2 linked regions of the Notamacropus eugenii genome follow. The main gene of each other region encodes a partner of the protein of the gene in region 2 in a complex. Links are inferred from orthologs where the notes say so. Each region holds a gene or a part of one and is shown on either strand. Other genes may lie near its edges.

Evidence for each region. The genes of interacting proteins can lie anywhere in the genome.
Region 1: the proteins of AGT (region 2) and DPP3 are in contact, whole or in part, in a crystal structure (PDB 5E2Q), measured with the Homo sapiens proteins. The link is inferred for Notamacropus eugenii from reciprocal best matches to the Homo sapiens genes AGT and DPP3. Residues at the interface, in NP_001369746.2 of Homo sapiens: Asp25, Arg26, Val27, Tyr28, Ile29, His30, Pro31, Phe32; in NP_005691.2 of Homo sapiens: Phe109, Glu316, Tyr318, Glu329, Phe381, Gly385, Ile386, Pro387, Ala388, Gly389, Ile390, Asn391, Ile392, Asn394, Arg399, Val412, Leu413, Val415, Ala416, Phe443, Val447, His450, His455, Glu507, Glu508, Asn545, Arg548, Leu552, Glu555, Phe556.

Annotation. Positions count from the first base shown.
Region 1 is NC_092873.1:19,046,972-19,054,514, forward strand, and holds the start of DPP3 (dipeptidyl peptidase 3), read left to right. Parts: upstream 1-4,529; 5' UTR 4,530-4,609; intron 4,610-5,671; 5' UTR 5,672-5,676; coding exon 5,677-5,946; intron 5,947-6,150; coding exon 6,151-6,240; intron 6,241-6,381; coding exon 6,382-6,519; intron 6,520-7,543. Other genes in the region: PELI3 (E3 ubiquitin-protein ligase pellino homolog 3), read left to right, coding at 1-247. UniProt on the Homo sapiens protein: Cleaves and degrades bioactive peptides, including angiotensin, Leu-enkephalin and Met-enkephalin. Also cleaves Arg-Arg-beta-naphthylamide (in vitro).
Region 2 is NC_092873.1:387,183,604-387,190,887, forward strand, and holds the start of AGT (angiotensinogen), read left to right. Parts: upstream 1-4,272; 5' UTR 4,273-4,392; intron 4,393-6,331; exon of another isoform or gene 6,332-6,408; intron 6,409-7,284. UniProt on the Homo sapiens protein: Essential component of the renin-angiotensin system (RAS), a potent regulator of blood pressure, body fluid and electrolyte homeostasis.

The DNA of each region.
Region 1 (7,543 bases), about 370 Mb from region 2:
CCTGGTGGGGCCCTATGTGCCCTTGTGGCTGGGCCAAGAGGCAGGGCTGTGCCTGGACCCTGGGCCCCCAAGTCATGCCTTTGCACCTTGTGGCCACGTCTGCTCTGAGAAAACAGCCCGCTACTGGGCCCAGACACCGCTGCCCCACGGCACCCATGCCTTCCATGCTGCCTGTCCCTTCTGTGGGGCTTGGCTCACAGGGGAGAATGGCTGTGTCCGCCTTATCTTCCAGGGCCCTCTGGACTAGGGCAGGAGTGTGAGTCTCCTGGCTCCAGGCTGAGGTCCCCCAGCTCTGGGACCCAGGTCTCTTAGCTCCTGCTGTATCAGACTAGAGAGATGGGACAGCCCTCTGGGGCTGCCGTTGGTGGGACTGAAAGGCACCTCTGGCCCTGGCGGCACTGACTCGTGGTGTCTGTAAGATGAAGCAGTTCCCCCCCAGGACGTCTGCCTGGATGCTCGCTCAGACTGAGGGGGGTCCAGGTGGAGGGAGGGGTGCAGATCACATTCCCGGATCTGCATCACTCTCCAGTGACGGCTCCTCTGGATTGGCTGGAGTAGGGTGGGGTCCCTGTGGCTCTCCTCCATTCACTATCTGATGGACAAAGTCTCTGGTGCCAGGATTTCCCCTCTTGCTTCATCGGATCCAACGTCTAGGCTGGTCCCGGGGACGCCTCCGCCCCGCACGTCCCCCATCATGCCGTGTAACACTGTGCCCTGGCGGCAGGGAAGGAGGGAGTCTGGGAGGGTGGCATCCCCTCCCCCCTGCCCTGCCGTGCTGCTCGCCCCCTGGCAGAAGAGCCGTCCCAGGCCTGAGCCCTTTGCAGTCTCCAGCTGCTCAGACCTTCCTGCTGCTACCCCCCGGGTCTCTTTATAAACCTCACTGCTCGGCTGCCCTTCTCTGGTGTCCTGTGCTGCCTCTGGTTATTGGGGGGAGGCAGGGAGGCAGGGACAGGGAGGGGCCTAGAGAATGAACCTAGTGAAACCCTCCCTGACCCTGAGGAGGAATCTATCCTAGGAACAGAGAGAAGAGCATGGGGAAAGCCCAGCTGAATGAGCCCGGCGTCCTGCAGCTGATCAGGAGTGGAGAACCCCCTTTCTCTGTCCTCCCAATATGCAGTGGCCCATCCCATTTCCTAGGTCACATAGTGCCCAAGCTCCACAACCAGCTCTCCTTCAGGGGCACTTCCCCAGGTATGGCCAGGCTGTATGCCCACTTCTGGGGCTGTGACCTGGCTAAGTCCATCAGAAAAGAGGGAGAGATGGGCCAGCTCCCTGCAGAGGATGAGTGATTGGGGGGGGGGGGGTTGGCTGAAGGGAGCTATGTCCAACATGTACATGAACAAACAAGCCCAGCTGGCATCACCAGCGCTGGAACTGGACTAGACAGCCCTGTGTCACCCTGGGGCAAGGCTGGCCGAGCATCCTCAGGACTCAGCCAGTCTGCTGCTGGAGAAGGCGCAGGATGGCCTTAGACAGGGCTGGATCAGTGAGCCGCTTACCTGGTCAGCAGCTTCTGAGAGGAGGAAGAGTGCCATCTGCTCAATTCCTGTGATGATTCTTGCTAAACGCATTTCTATTCTGTTGTCCAGTCATTTCAATTGTGTCTGACTCTCTGTGACCCCATCTGGGGTTTTCTCGGCAAAGGTAATGGAGAAGTTTGCTGCTTCCTTCTTCGGCTCATTTTACAGATGAGGAAACTGAGGCAGACACAGTTAAGTGACTTGCCCAGGGTCACACAATTAGTAAGTGTCTGAGGTCTCCTTTGAACTAGGGTAAATAAGCCTTCCAGACTCCAGGCTCTGCGCACCATGGCGCCACCTAGCGGCCCATGTAGGCTGACAAGGAAGTAAAAATCATGTCAAAATGTAACCATTTCTAAAATTGCACAATATTTCTAGGTCGTTATTTTAAATTGTTGCATCCCATAAATTTTAGTGTCCTGGGACAAAACCAATCACCCTTCTTTAGTTTCAGCTCCAGGAAGCATATCGAGATAATCAGATGCTGATATTTTCCTGTTACTATAACTTTTAAGGCTTAAAAAGTTTCTTCCTCAGAACAGCCTCCTGCAGCAGTGCAAATATAACTACCCCATTTAGAGATAAGAAAACAAGCAGATCGACCTGGCCACAGTCACGAGGCTCAGTGATGTTGTAACATCAGGTCTTTCACCTCTGTCCTTTGCCCTCTTCAATAAGGAGGCCACCAGGCCGTGGCACAGGGCTAAGCTGAATGGGTTTTTTCCAAATGTTATGATGGCTATCTTTTCATTTGATCTCCACAACAACCCTGAAAGAAAGGTGGAAGAGATAGAATCACCCGCATTGTTCGGATGGGTTATTATTTTCTATATGTAGGAGTAAGAGCACTGAATTTGGAGCCCAAGGTTTGGGGTTTACATTCTAGCTCTGCTGAGTAGTGATATCTGTGCAACCTTGAGCTAGTCACTTATTTCTGGGAGTCTCAGTTTGGCCATCTGTTAAATGGGGAGTTAGGTTGCTCTAGCCAAGAATTCATCACTCCATGGCCAGCATCCTGGGGGTGAACTTCTCCATTCTAATCTAGAAAGCAGTCTCCAGCCTTGGACAGTTTGTTTCATCCTCCAAAACCCCTCCAAGGTGATAAGACTTACCTGTGCTTGCATTCCACTGGCAGTGCAGGGTCACTTCCATGTTATACTGAGCACCCAGAGGGGGATTTCAGGCCCAGAATTAAGTAGGAGGAGGAGAGTAGGCCCGGTGGCCTTTGAGATCTTGCAAACTTCTTCTAATGACCACGGGCATCTTCCTGAAAGGAAGGCCTGTCTTTTTAATGCCAGCCTCTTCTGGAAGACGGGCGGTACCTGTGGGTCAGGGAATGTCATGATCTCTGAAAAATAGAGGTGAAAATCTGCCAAAGGCAATGGAGAGGACTATGGCAGGTGGGTGTCCTCCAAGACACAAGTTAAGTGACCCAAAGGACAAGAGAGCCACTGGACAGATGGAGCACTCTACTGGTATGTTCTAGACTTCAAGTGAAAGCATGGAAAGGCCACGGCACTTTCAATGTGAACTTTGGGGAGGCCAAGGACAAAGTTAGACAGGATGATAAAGCATCATTAGTGGAGTTAGAGTCAGAAGGGACTTTGCAGGTCATCTGGTCCAGCTCCTGCATTTTACAGATGAGGAAAATGAGGACCCGAGAAGTAGAGGAGAGCACAAGTCTCAGCTTAGGGCAGTTAGGGATTGCAGGAAGTATCTAAGAGAATGCCAATCACAAGATGAGATCCAAGAGGTCTAATCTAAAAAGATGAAGTATAATCAAGATAATGTAAAGTTTGAAACTTGGGTCCAAATAAATCAACCACACAACCAAGTGACATGGGGTGCCTGGCTAGACATGTTCCTATGACCAAGCTCTGACTTGCCCAAGGTCCCCCAAGTAAGTTATAGAGCCAGGATTTAAAGCCGGGTTGTCCTGCTCCGTTCTGGTATCTTTCCTGTACAAGACGCTCCTCCATCATCCCAGAGAATACCCCAGGGGGAGGAGAGGGCAGTTAGCTGAGATCTAAGGTCCTCTCTTGCTACTGGGGCCCTCCCCAGCCTCCGGGCTTGTCCCTGCCTAAGGGAAGTCGGGGACCATGTGGTCAATGGGACCATAAGAACGTGGAAATCACAGAGAAAGGCCTCTGGGGAGAGGAGAAGTGAGAGCCCAGAGGCAAGCGCCTCAGCCCACACCACCCAGCCTCCTTTCTTTCCAAGCGTCCTCTGGGTGACAAGGAAAGTGGGGGAGGGGGTAACCAAAGCAGCCTGGCAGCGCGAGAGAGGAGAGCCCTGGGCTTGGAGGCCCAGCCTCGGCTTTCTTTGGTTCTGTTTTGTTAGCTTCCAGCGGGAAGGGTGAGGGCAGGGAGGCCTCAGGTGGGGCCACTAGCTGCCCCTCAGGATGCCCACACTGCCCGCGGGGGGCACCACCGGCCGTCTCTTCTGCTTAGAGACTCGGGCTAAAGAGAGGAGGCGCGTCTGCACGTGGGCCACACGTGCTCGGCCATGACTGCAGGCTTGGGGACCACGCGAGGCTTTGGGGGGCAGCCGGGGTCCTCCATCCGCGCCCCCCATCGGGGTGACTGACTCGGGGAGGTCACCCTCAGTTTCCTCATCCGTAAATGGGCCGGAGAAGCGGAGGCGGCCCCGCAATCCTCTCCGCGGCCTGCTTCTTCTCTCACCCCACGCCCTTCATCACGGCTCCCCAGCCGCCAAGGCCCCGCCTCAAGGGCCACCTCTCACGGTACAGACGACTAAGCCAGGCCGGAGGGGCCCCGGAGAGGCCCGGCCTATAAGGGTCAGAGCCACCCCCGGGGGAGCGAAGGACGGAGATCCCGGAAGGGAGCGGCGCGCGGGCCAATCCCCAGCAGCCCCGGCAGCACGTGCGGGAGGAGGCGGAGACAGGAAGGAGGGGGGTGGGGCCGGCGCGATGGCCCGAGCGATCATTGGTCGCAGGCCATGCCGGTCACGGCGAAGGCGGGCACTGATTGGGGGAGGGGCGGGCGTCGCGAGGCCCCAATGAATGAGCAGCCGGAAGCAGGAAGTGAGTGAGGGAGTGAGGGAGTGAGGGAGAGAAGCAGCTGGTGCAGGTGAGGGCACCCTGGCGGGGGGCAGAGGGCGCGGAGCGGGGTGCAGGCGGGAGCGAGGGACCCTCTCTGCACCCCGGCCGGGATCTCCTAGCCCTGGAAGGTTCTCGATCAGGACGGAGCCGGGGGGAGCCCCGTGTGCCGGCACGTGCCAAAACGCAACAGCCCGGGCCCCTGCAGGAGCCCCCCCACTCCCCACCCAGGGAAACTGAGGCCCTGGGGTAGTGCTGGGACGTGGGCTTGGCGGGGCCCTCCAGCCGCCGCAGGGCATCCAGGGCACCGAAGGGCGGGCCAGCATTCATTAAGCGCCAGCTGTGTGCCCAGCCTGCCCACCACGTGACGATCGATCGGAATAGCCCGTGCCCTGGGGGAGCTTAGCCTAATGGGGAGGGGGGAGAAGGGGGGGACCAGAGGGAGAGGGGCTCCGAGCTCCTCCACGCCTTGTCCGGGCAACCTCCCCTGCGGCCGCGCGCGTGGCCCCTTGCCAGACCCTGGGGGAGACGCCAGAGGCTTGACTCGGGAGGATGCCACTTGCCCGGGGGTCAGGGTGGCTCCTGGACCTTCGCCAGGGCCGGGGGCAGGATGGACAAATGCCTTCTCACAGCGGAGGCAGCTCCTGGGTCTGCGGGGGGCCTCAGCCTGCCCCCCAGCTGCTGTCTCCCGCTTTACAGACGAGGAAACTGAGGCAGGCAGGGGCTCCGTGAGAGCCCGACGCTCCTGACCCCCCAAACCCCCCAGCAGCTCATCCCACCCTTCTTGGGCAGTAAACTCACACCCTAGGAACTTCCCCACTTAGAGGAGTCCCTGTGTGCACCATTCCCTCCCCATGCCCACGGTGCCCTCCCCGCCTCGTGCCCCAAACCCTTGTTGCCAGCCCTGAGGCCGCAAGTCTTAATGCTCTTCTCCTTCACATCATGTCCTGGGTGTTTTATGTGGACGTGTGTGTGTGTGTGTGTGTGTGTGTGCGCGGGTGCGCGCGGGTGCGGGTGCGCCGTGTCCTCTGGCCGGAGCAGACCCTTTACAGAGCTTTGCTGACTCGTTTCTGCCCCCGCCTCACCTTGGCAGCCACCATGACGGACCCCCAGTACATCCTCCCCAACGACATCGGCGTCGCCAGCCTCGACTGCCGGGAAGCCTTCGGCCTGCTGTCCCCCACGGAGAGGCTCTACGCGCACCATCTGTCCCGGGCCGCCTGGTACGGGGGTCTGGTTGTGCTTCTGCAGACTTCTCCCGAGTCCCCCCACATCTACACTCTCCTCAGTCGCCTGTTTCGCGCCCAGGATCCTGAGCAGCTCCGGGAGTGTGCCCTGAAGGAGGGTCTCACAGAGGACGAATATCAGGTGTGCCCCACAGCTAGCTCACAGTTAGGCTGCCTCCTGTCCCCACACCAGGGGTCCTCACCACCAGGTCGGCAGCAGCCCTTCCTGTCCTCTACACACACAGACACACGCACACGCACACGCGCGGCCTCCATGCTCTCTGAGCAGAACCCCCAATGCTGCAGGCCTGGCCCTCCTCTCTTGACCAATTTCCTGCCCCCTCAGGCTTTCCTGGTCTACACTGCTGGGATCTACGCCAACATGGGGAACTACAAGTCTTTTGGGGACACCAAGTTCATCCCCAACTTACCCAAGGTGAGGCAGGAAGTGGAGAGGAAGACTGGGGGGAGGTTGGGGGATTCCCCTGACCTGGCTTTTGGGGAGGGACTGTGAGCATGCACATCTGAACTCGAACCTCTTTTTTCTTCCCCCACCTCCCACCTACCTCATGTGCAGGAGAAGCTGGAACGGTTGGTGTTGGGGAGCCGAGCTGCCCAAGAGCAGCCAGAAGTGATTGAGGGGCTCTGGCAGATCTGTGGGAGCCTCATGTTCTCCCTGGAGCCCCAGCAGCGTCATCTGGGCCTGGGAAGCGAGGTGAGAGCCTGCATTGGAGAGATGCCATGCCATTGGGCCGGGAGCCAGCAGGCCTGGATTCATGCCCCAGGTCCACCGTAGACTGTGTGTGTCTGTGTCTCTACGCGCTCACACGCATGTCTATGAGAGAAGCCATGTCTAGTTGGGACAAGACACCACAATGCCGTAGAAGCGCTCGGGATGCGAATCCCACCGCGATCTCTTTCTCTGTCAGAAGAGAGGGGTGGACGAGGTCAGGGGTCTTCCTCTGGCCTGTTTCCTGGGCCCCTGCTCACTGTCACATCTGGTAGTTCGTGTGATAATTGAAGGAGATGCTCAGTTTCCCTGAAGATGAGTGAAAACAGAGATGCTAGGTGTTTGTTCACAGGGTCCAGGCGAAGGTCTCCAGAGTCCAAAGTCCACTCCTTCTAGGGGATAGTGGAACTGGAGGGGAGAGAAGCCCAGCAGGGGATGCTCTCCTTCCTTTCTGGGTGATTCTATGGCTGGGAGCCTAAGAGGGAGGGGGAGAGTATAAGGATGTGCTGGGCGGGGTCCAGGAGGAGGACCAGAGGATGAAGGGGACTGGACATTTGAGTTGAAGACGTCCAGGAGAGAGAGAGGAAAGCAGCAGCAGCTGCAGGGCCACTGGTAGGGATATGGAAAGAGGAGGACCTGAGTTCAAGTCCTGCCTCTGACATTAGATGCATGACTATAGGCAAGGCCCTTAATTTGTATGAGCCTCAGAATCCTCACACGTTTGCAGTCCTCTGTAACTGGGGGCAGCAGGAAGGCTCACATGGAACACGTGAGGCATGAGCTGAGCTCTGAAGGAAAGTGGAAATTCCAAGTGATAGAGGTGAAGAAGGCAAGCCTTCTAGACACAGGAGACAAAGGCACAGAGGTGGGAGATGGACATTTCAGGGGATTTAATTTAGCTGAACTTTGACCTTGACCCAGGAGCAATAGGGGGCTACTGCATCATTTTGATTGAAAGGGAAGTATGGTCAGATCTATACTTTAGGAAGATTGCTTTCCCATCTCCTCT
Region 2 (7,284 bases):
GTGTATATTGTTTCTTGGCTCTCTACTTCATTCTTCATTAGTTCATGTGGGTCTTTCCACACTTCTCTGTTTTCATCACATTTATCATTTCTTACAGCACGCATATAATGTTCTATAACATTAATATACCACAGTTTATTTAGTCATTCTCTAATCAATGGGCATCTACTTTGTTTCCAATTCTTTATTATAAAAGGTATACTATACATGTTTTGGTATATGGGAACTTTCTTTTAACTAATGGCTTCCCTGGACTTCCTTGGACCCATCAATGGAATTTCTAGGTCAAAGAGAATAAACATTTTAGTCATGTTATTTGCATAATTGCAAATTGCTTTCCAAAATGATTTCGTCAAATCACAGCTCCACTAATACTGGGTTATTGAGTTCCATTGTTTCTAATTCTCCACAGTCTGTTCAATTGGTCTACATTTATGTTTTAGTGACTGCTGCTTTATAACGTAGTTTATTCCCTTTTTGTCCCTAATTTCTTTTCATCATTTTCTTTAATATTCTACATCAGTGGTGTCAAGCTCAAATAGAAATAGGTTCCTATCAGTTCACATATTGACTTAGAAAACTACAAATTAACATTATCTGTGTTGTAATGTATTTAGCATTTTCCAATTACATTTTAAACTGATTCAGGCCCACAAGGGAGGTCTGTGGGCTGTAGCTTTGACTCCTCTCTTCTTTTATTTCTCCAAATTAGTGTTGTTACTTTTATCAAATTTTATAAAGTATTCCTCTGATAGAATGAGTGGCATAGTATTAAAAGTATAAATTAACTTTGGCAGTATTATCTTTTTTAAATATGGGCAGGACCCAGCGATGAACATTGAATATTCCTACAACTACTTGTTGTTCTTTTGACTACTTTGGCAGATTGATCATTTTGTAATTATTTGTGGTGGAAATTCCCTTTCTGCTATTGCCTCTTGAATTTTGTTATTATTATATAGAAATGCAGTTGATTTTTGAGGGTTTATTTTGTAGTCTACCACTTTGCTGAAGCTATTATCTCAATGTATTTTTGCTGATTCCCTAGGATTTTCTAAGCATACCATCATATCATAAGCAAATAAGTGTTGGGGGTGTAAGCTCAGTTCCATGTGGATAGTCTCGGGTGGGTAAAGGTGAGAACTTCTAAACCTTAGAGTTCTCATGAGGCCCCCCAGGGAACAGCAGGGAATTGAGGTGTGAGACCGAGCTATCTCGTGCATTTCCGCCTCTTCCCGTGGGAAACGCTGGGAGAGAGCATCCCCGCCCTTGAGATTGGCCCGGGTCTGAGCACACCTATTGTTATCTAACAGGCACGGTATTCAGGTGCAAACTATGTGGCAGGAGAGCTTAAGTAGGGTCAGGAAAGCCTGAAGGCGCTCTTAGCGCTGAGGGACCCTTACAGGACAGAAGGTCCCTCTCCCCTCTCTCCCCACTTCCACTTCTGCTTTCATTCTCTTACTGTAAGATCTTTGCCTCCTTGGGAGATTTCCCTCTCTCCTAAGGAAGAGTTCCCCCTGCACATGTAACCAAGACCCTGAATAAAGCCTAACCCTCGTTCGACTCTGGAAAGTCTCTTCTCTCATAAGTTTATCCGGTTTGGCCAGCCGAAGACCTGCGATAGGTAAGGTAAGACTCGGGTAGCCCTCAGGCCTCTAGGCCTGGCAAATAAGGATAGTTTAAATCTCCTCTTTACTTATCTTTATGCCTTTAATTTCTTTCTCTTGTCTTATTGCTATTGCTAGCATTTCCAGAATTACATTAAATAATAGTTTGAGAGTGGGCATCCTTACTTTGCTGCTATGTTCAGTGGAAAAGGCTCCAGTTTTCCCAGTTGTTTATGATGTTCACTTTTGGTTTTAGAAAGGTACTTTGTAAGATACTTAAAAAATGGTCCCTCTATACCTATACTTTGTGGGGCTTTTTTTCATTCATTGTAGGGCTTTTAGCATAAATGAATGTTGTTCTTTGTCAAAAGCTTTTTTTGAAACTATAATAATCATAAGGCTTGGGATGTTTTTGATTTTAATATGAATAATTATATTGATTGTTTTCCTAATGCAGAAGCAACAATCCTTCTATTCCTAGCATGAATTCAACTTGATCAAAATGAATGATTTTTTGGATAGTAATTTCATCTTTAAAAAATAAATCATCAGTGGAATATTATTAAAGATCAAAGCTGTTTGTTCAGAACAACTGGGATTATTGGAGAGTAAGTGGAGGACACAGTTTCAAAAATTTACCAATGCTTTTTATTTTTTAAAAAATGACAGCCATTTTCTGATATAATCCCTACCTCTCACAGTGAACCCTCCTTTGTCATAAAGATATTGTTAAATAAAACCCCACTGACTGACAGCATATGTAGCATTTCTTACCCATCTCTCTAATGAGAGGAAGTAAATGTTTCACCACTTCTTCTTAGGGATTAAGATTGGTTATTGATATTACTATGAATTCAATTGCCTTTTAGTGCAGTTTTTATTTGCGTTGTGTTGGCCGTTGTGTGTATTACTTCTCTAGTTTTGCATACTTTTGTCTGCCTTGTTTCATACAAGTGTTCCCAACGACATGACTTACTGAATGAATGAAAAGGCATTATTAAATGCCTAATATGGGCCAGGCACTGTGAAAAGTGTTAGGAATATAAATATATAAATACAAATAATATAAATTTGAGTAACGTAAAACTATCAAGTTTAATCTGCATCATTAACATTTTCTCTTCCTTAAGTCTAGACAATCAAAAAAACATATCAAGCCCTGATTTCCAGTGTTCGCTGATTTCTGCCCTGTAAACGCCCACGCTGAAAATTGAGCAAGAGTAAGCTGACCAGCATATCCATATATAAAGGGGAGCTACAGTTGAAAAACAGGACATGGTCCTTGCAGCCAAGGAGTATTGTGGTAGCCTGGTTCCAGGAACGATAATGTGAAATCTCACCTGTCAGAGACCAGGGTGGGGGGGAGCGAGATATGAGTTCTGGAGAGAATGCGAATGCAAGCTGTGTGGTTTGGAAATGACTACGTGCGTGTAATTTTACAGCCTATTTTTGTTATTGAGTTGTTTCATTCATGTCTGATTCATCATGACTCCATTTGGGGTTTTCTTGGCAAAGATACTAGAGTGCTTTGCCATTTCTTTCTCCAGATCATTTTATAGATGAGGAAACTGAAGCAAACAAGGTTAAGTGACCTGCATGGGGTCACATAGCTAGCAGGTGTCTGTAGCTAGAGTTGAACTCAGTTCTTTCTGATTCCAATACCTGCACTTTTTTCACTGCTTCACCTAGATGCCCAGCCTAAGGGCCCTCCATATGAGAAGTTGCCTCTTTCTTTTAGCCACTTTTTTACTAGGCATCTCCTCTCCTCAGACATAAAGTCAAAAAATTTTATAGGGCAGCTAGGTGGTATGATGTGTAGAGCAGAGGGCCTGGAAGTAGGAAGACCTGAGTTCAAATTTGACCTCATTCACTTAATAGCTGTGTGACCCTGGGCAAGTCATTTAACCTCTGTTTACCTCAGTTTTCTTATCTGTAAAATAGGGATAATAAGAGTACCTACTTCCCAGGATGGTTGTGAGGCTCAAATGAGATAGGTGTAAAGAACTTAGCACATATAAATGTTAGCTATTGTTTGGTTCAATTTCCTCATTTTATAGGTAAAGAAATTTGAATCCTAGAGACTCACCTAAGGTTGGTTAACACAGTGGATAGAGCCCTGGACCTAGATTCAGGAAGACCTTAGTTCAGATCTCCCCTCAGACACTTACTAGTTGTGTGACCTTCAACAAGTTTCCTTGTTGGTAAGATGTGGAGGTCAGACTTCATTTTATTTTGCTCTTAAATCCATATATGAGGAGTCAGATCCTAGGAACCTGACTCTCACTACAGGGCTTTCCCCCCAGACCACTGCCCCTGTGAACCGATACACTTAATACCCCTGTAGCATGAACTTTTCAAAATCAATTCCAGGGGAGGCTGGGAAAGGGGTCACACAAGAGAGCAGCTTTTAGTCACACACACATACACAGACACTTGCATGTGTCAATGAGTGGCTGGGGCCCTGGTTCCAGTCTACTTAGTAAATATGTAACTTGAGCCTATACCAAGCCACAGTGTTCTCTGGGGTAAGTGTGCGTTGATTTGGAAGCTTTTCCGATAAAAGACGCTTGCATCCACATGTTTGGCTTCGATCTAGTCAGCCCTGGCGCCCTTGGCCTGAGTGATGTCATCCCTCCTGCCAGCCAGAACACAGGAAGGCTTCGGAATGTCTCTCATCCCCTGTCCTCCAGTATAAATATAGCTGCAGTACCCCCAGACTGGAGAAAGGTGTCCTAGGACTTTTGGTGGAAAAGGCAGCCTGAGTCCCTGAGTTCTGGAGTAAGAGGTAAGCCTGGAGTGGCTGGGGACCCTTCTTCTCTCTTCTCCCTCAGTTGTCTGTAGGTGATCTTGGCAACTGGGGCCAAGAAAGATTAAGAGAGAGGGAGGACAGCGCTGGAAAATAACAATAACTTTGAATGGCAGTAGAGGGCAGCTTGTCTGGGAAAAATCAAACTGGGAACACAATGAGCCAGGAACAAGCTGCTTGGTAGGGAACTTTTGACAGCAGGAGGCTGAGGCAACAGAAAGAAACTATTGAACATCTCATTAATTCTCTTTGCCTGAAGTTTTCCCACTCTGCCCCCAAGAGGTTTTTGGGGGTTTTTTTTCCTAATTTTTTGGTTTTGTTTTACAAGTTCCAACTCCCTTGTGAAATCATGAGAATGAGACCATGACTGTAATAAATGTGTCCTCTCTACTTCTGTACCCAAGACTAAAGATGGGGAGAAGGAGGCAGGCTTGTGTTATGCAGCCAGGATAGCCCCAAGTCAAAGAGGAGAAGGCAGCCAGTGCTATGACTGATGGTAGGCAACAGCATGGGCATGTGAGGAAGGAGATGTGGAGGCCTGGCCAGATCCTCAATCCCCATCGTTGATGAGTCTTTTTGAGAAAGAAAAAAGGAGCTTCAACCTCCCAGGAGATTGAAGGTGAAACTCTCCCAGATAAGCTGGGTTCTGCATAATGGAAGGAGCAAAGGTTGATTAACATGGTGGATAGAGCCCTGGACCTAGATTCAGGAAGACCTTAGTTCAGATCTCCCCTCAGACACTTACTAGTTGTGTGACCTTCAACAGTTTCCTTGTTGGTAAGATGTGGAGGTTGGACTTCATTGCCTTTATTTTGCTCTTAAATCTATATATGAGGAGTCAGAGCCTAGGAACCTGACTCTCATTACAGTGCTTTCCCCCCAGACTGCTGCCCCTGTGAACCGATACACTTATACCCCTGTAGTATGAACCTTTCAAAATCAATTCCAGGGGAGGCTGGGAGAGAGGTCACACAAGAGACCTAGTGCAGACATGGTTTGGCACCCTCCTTTTTCCTTCCATCAGCTCCCTCCAGAGAGTAATTTGAGGCCAATCTGCCTACCACTTTGTGATTGTTTTGTCCTGGCTGCCAGGCCTTGGAGCCCCAAATAGCTGAAATTGAAATAAAGGGGAGGGGCAATTGAAGAAGGAAAGAGTTAAAAAGGAGGGGGAATGAGCCAAATGGGAAAGAAGAGAAGAGGGAAGATGAGGGAAGAACTGTGAGATCTGCAACAGATGGAACCATCTTTCATTTTCAAAACACCAGCTGCATCCTATCTAGAAACATAGGCTTGTTGGGGATGGGGTGAGAATTGGGGGAAGGGGAACAAAGCTAAAGACTACAATTGAAGGGGAAAGAGTCTTTAGCTTGAAAAAGATCCATGAAATTGTTTAGTTTGAGAGGGTGGCCATAAACTGCAGAAAGGGCTGAGACGGGGAGAAGGGAGTGCATTTCTGTCTTATCTGGATTAAGCAGCCCCATGCCCTGCCTACATATCCATAACTGCAGAGAGCTTATTGGGCAATTGATTCCCAAAGCTTTTACTGTTGACTCATTTAGATGAGAAATCATTTGGCAAATCAGGCTTTGCTTGGAGTGGTTCAGAGGATATTTCCTATTTCCCTTCTTCATTATATTTATTTGTTTGTTTTAAATCTAAATATGTAATTTCAAGCAGACACTTCTGGTGTGGAAACACCTTCTAATGATGTGGTTCTTTAACACAAATTTAGAATATTGTCCTGGGTAGAGAAAGCATAAGTAATTTGCTGAGTATCAAATAGTATCTAAGCCAGGATATGCCTCCCCAGTCATTTACGTTTGGTAAAAATTGTAGGTAAAATCAGAATGCATAAACTGGGGCAAGGGTTGGGGCATGGTGAAGAAAATCTTCAGGCTTTAGATTATGTCCAGGTGAACAGGATCAAGATTTGAAGAGACTGTGGAAACTGAAGACATGAACAGAAAAAGGTTAAGATTCTTCTCAATGACAAAGGTAGGTTATTATGTGTCTAGCATCGTGGTACGCAAGATGAAGGAAAAGTAAATACAGGACATACAGTTGTATAGATACAAGATAGGAATCCCTGGTCATGTCAAGGACAGTAGAAAAAAAGTCTAAGGATCATAGTGGACCACAAAGTGATGTTGTTCAGCAGTGGTGTAGTTAAAATTAAAGGCTGTAGTTAAGAACTTAAGCATATTTAAATCATACATAATATCCAATTTTATAGTATGGTATGTTTTTTAATGATGGGTAGATATTAACCTCCCTGAGGGCAGAGTAAGAGGAGCTGAGTTTTTGAGTAGCATTGGGTAGCACAAACAGAACTGGATTTAAAGCAGAAAGAGTGTTACTTTTGGAGTTAGAGGACCTTGGTTCAAATCCTGCCTCAAATCTGCCTCTGTTGTATGACCTTGGACAAATCACTTAACTATTCTGGGTCTCTCTTTCCTCATTCATAAAGTGAGAGGGTTGAACTGGATGATATCTGAGTTTCTTTCCAGCTCTGGATAAGGATCCTAGGATCCTATGACCAATGGAGAGGATAGGGAGCCAGGTTTTGGATCAGGAAGATCGGAATTTAAATCTGATCTCACTTACTACCTGTGTGATCTTGGGCAAATCATGTAACCTCTGTTTACCTCAGTTTCCTCAACTGTAAAATGGGGATAATGATAGCAATTAACCACAGCGTTGTTATAAGGATCAAATGAGATAATTTGAAAATACATTTTTTTATGTACTTAGCACAGTGCTTATACCCCGTTTTAATACTTACTAGCTGTTTGACCAAAAGCAAATCACGTAATCTGATCTTGTTTCCTCATGTGCAAAAGGAGGATAAGGAAGCCTGTATTGCCCACTTTG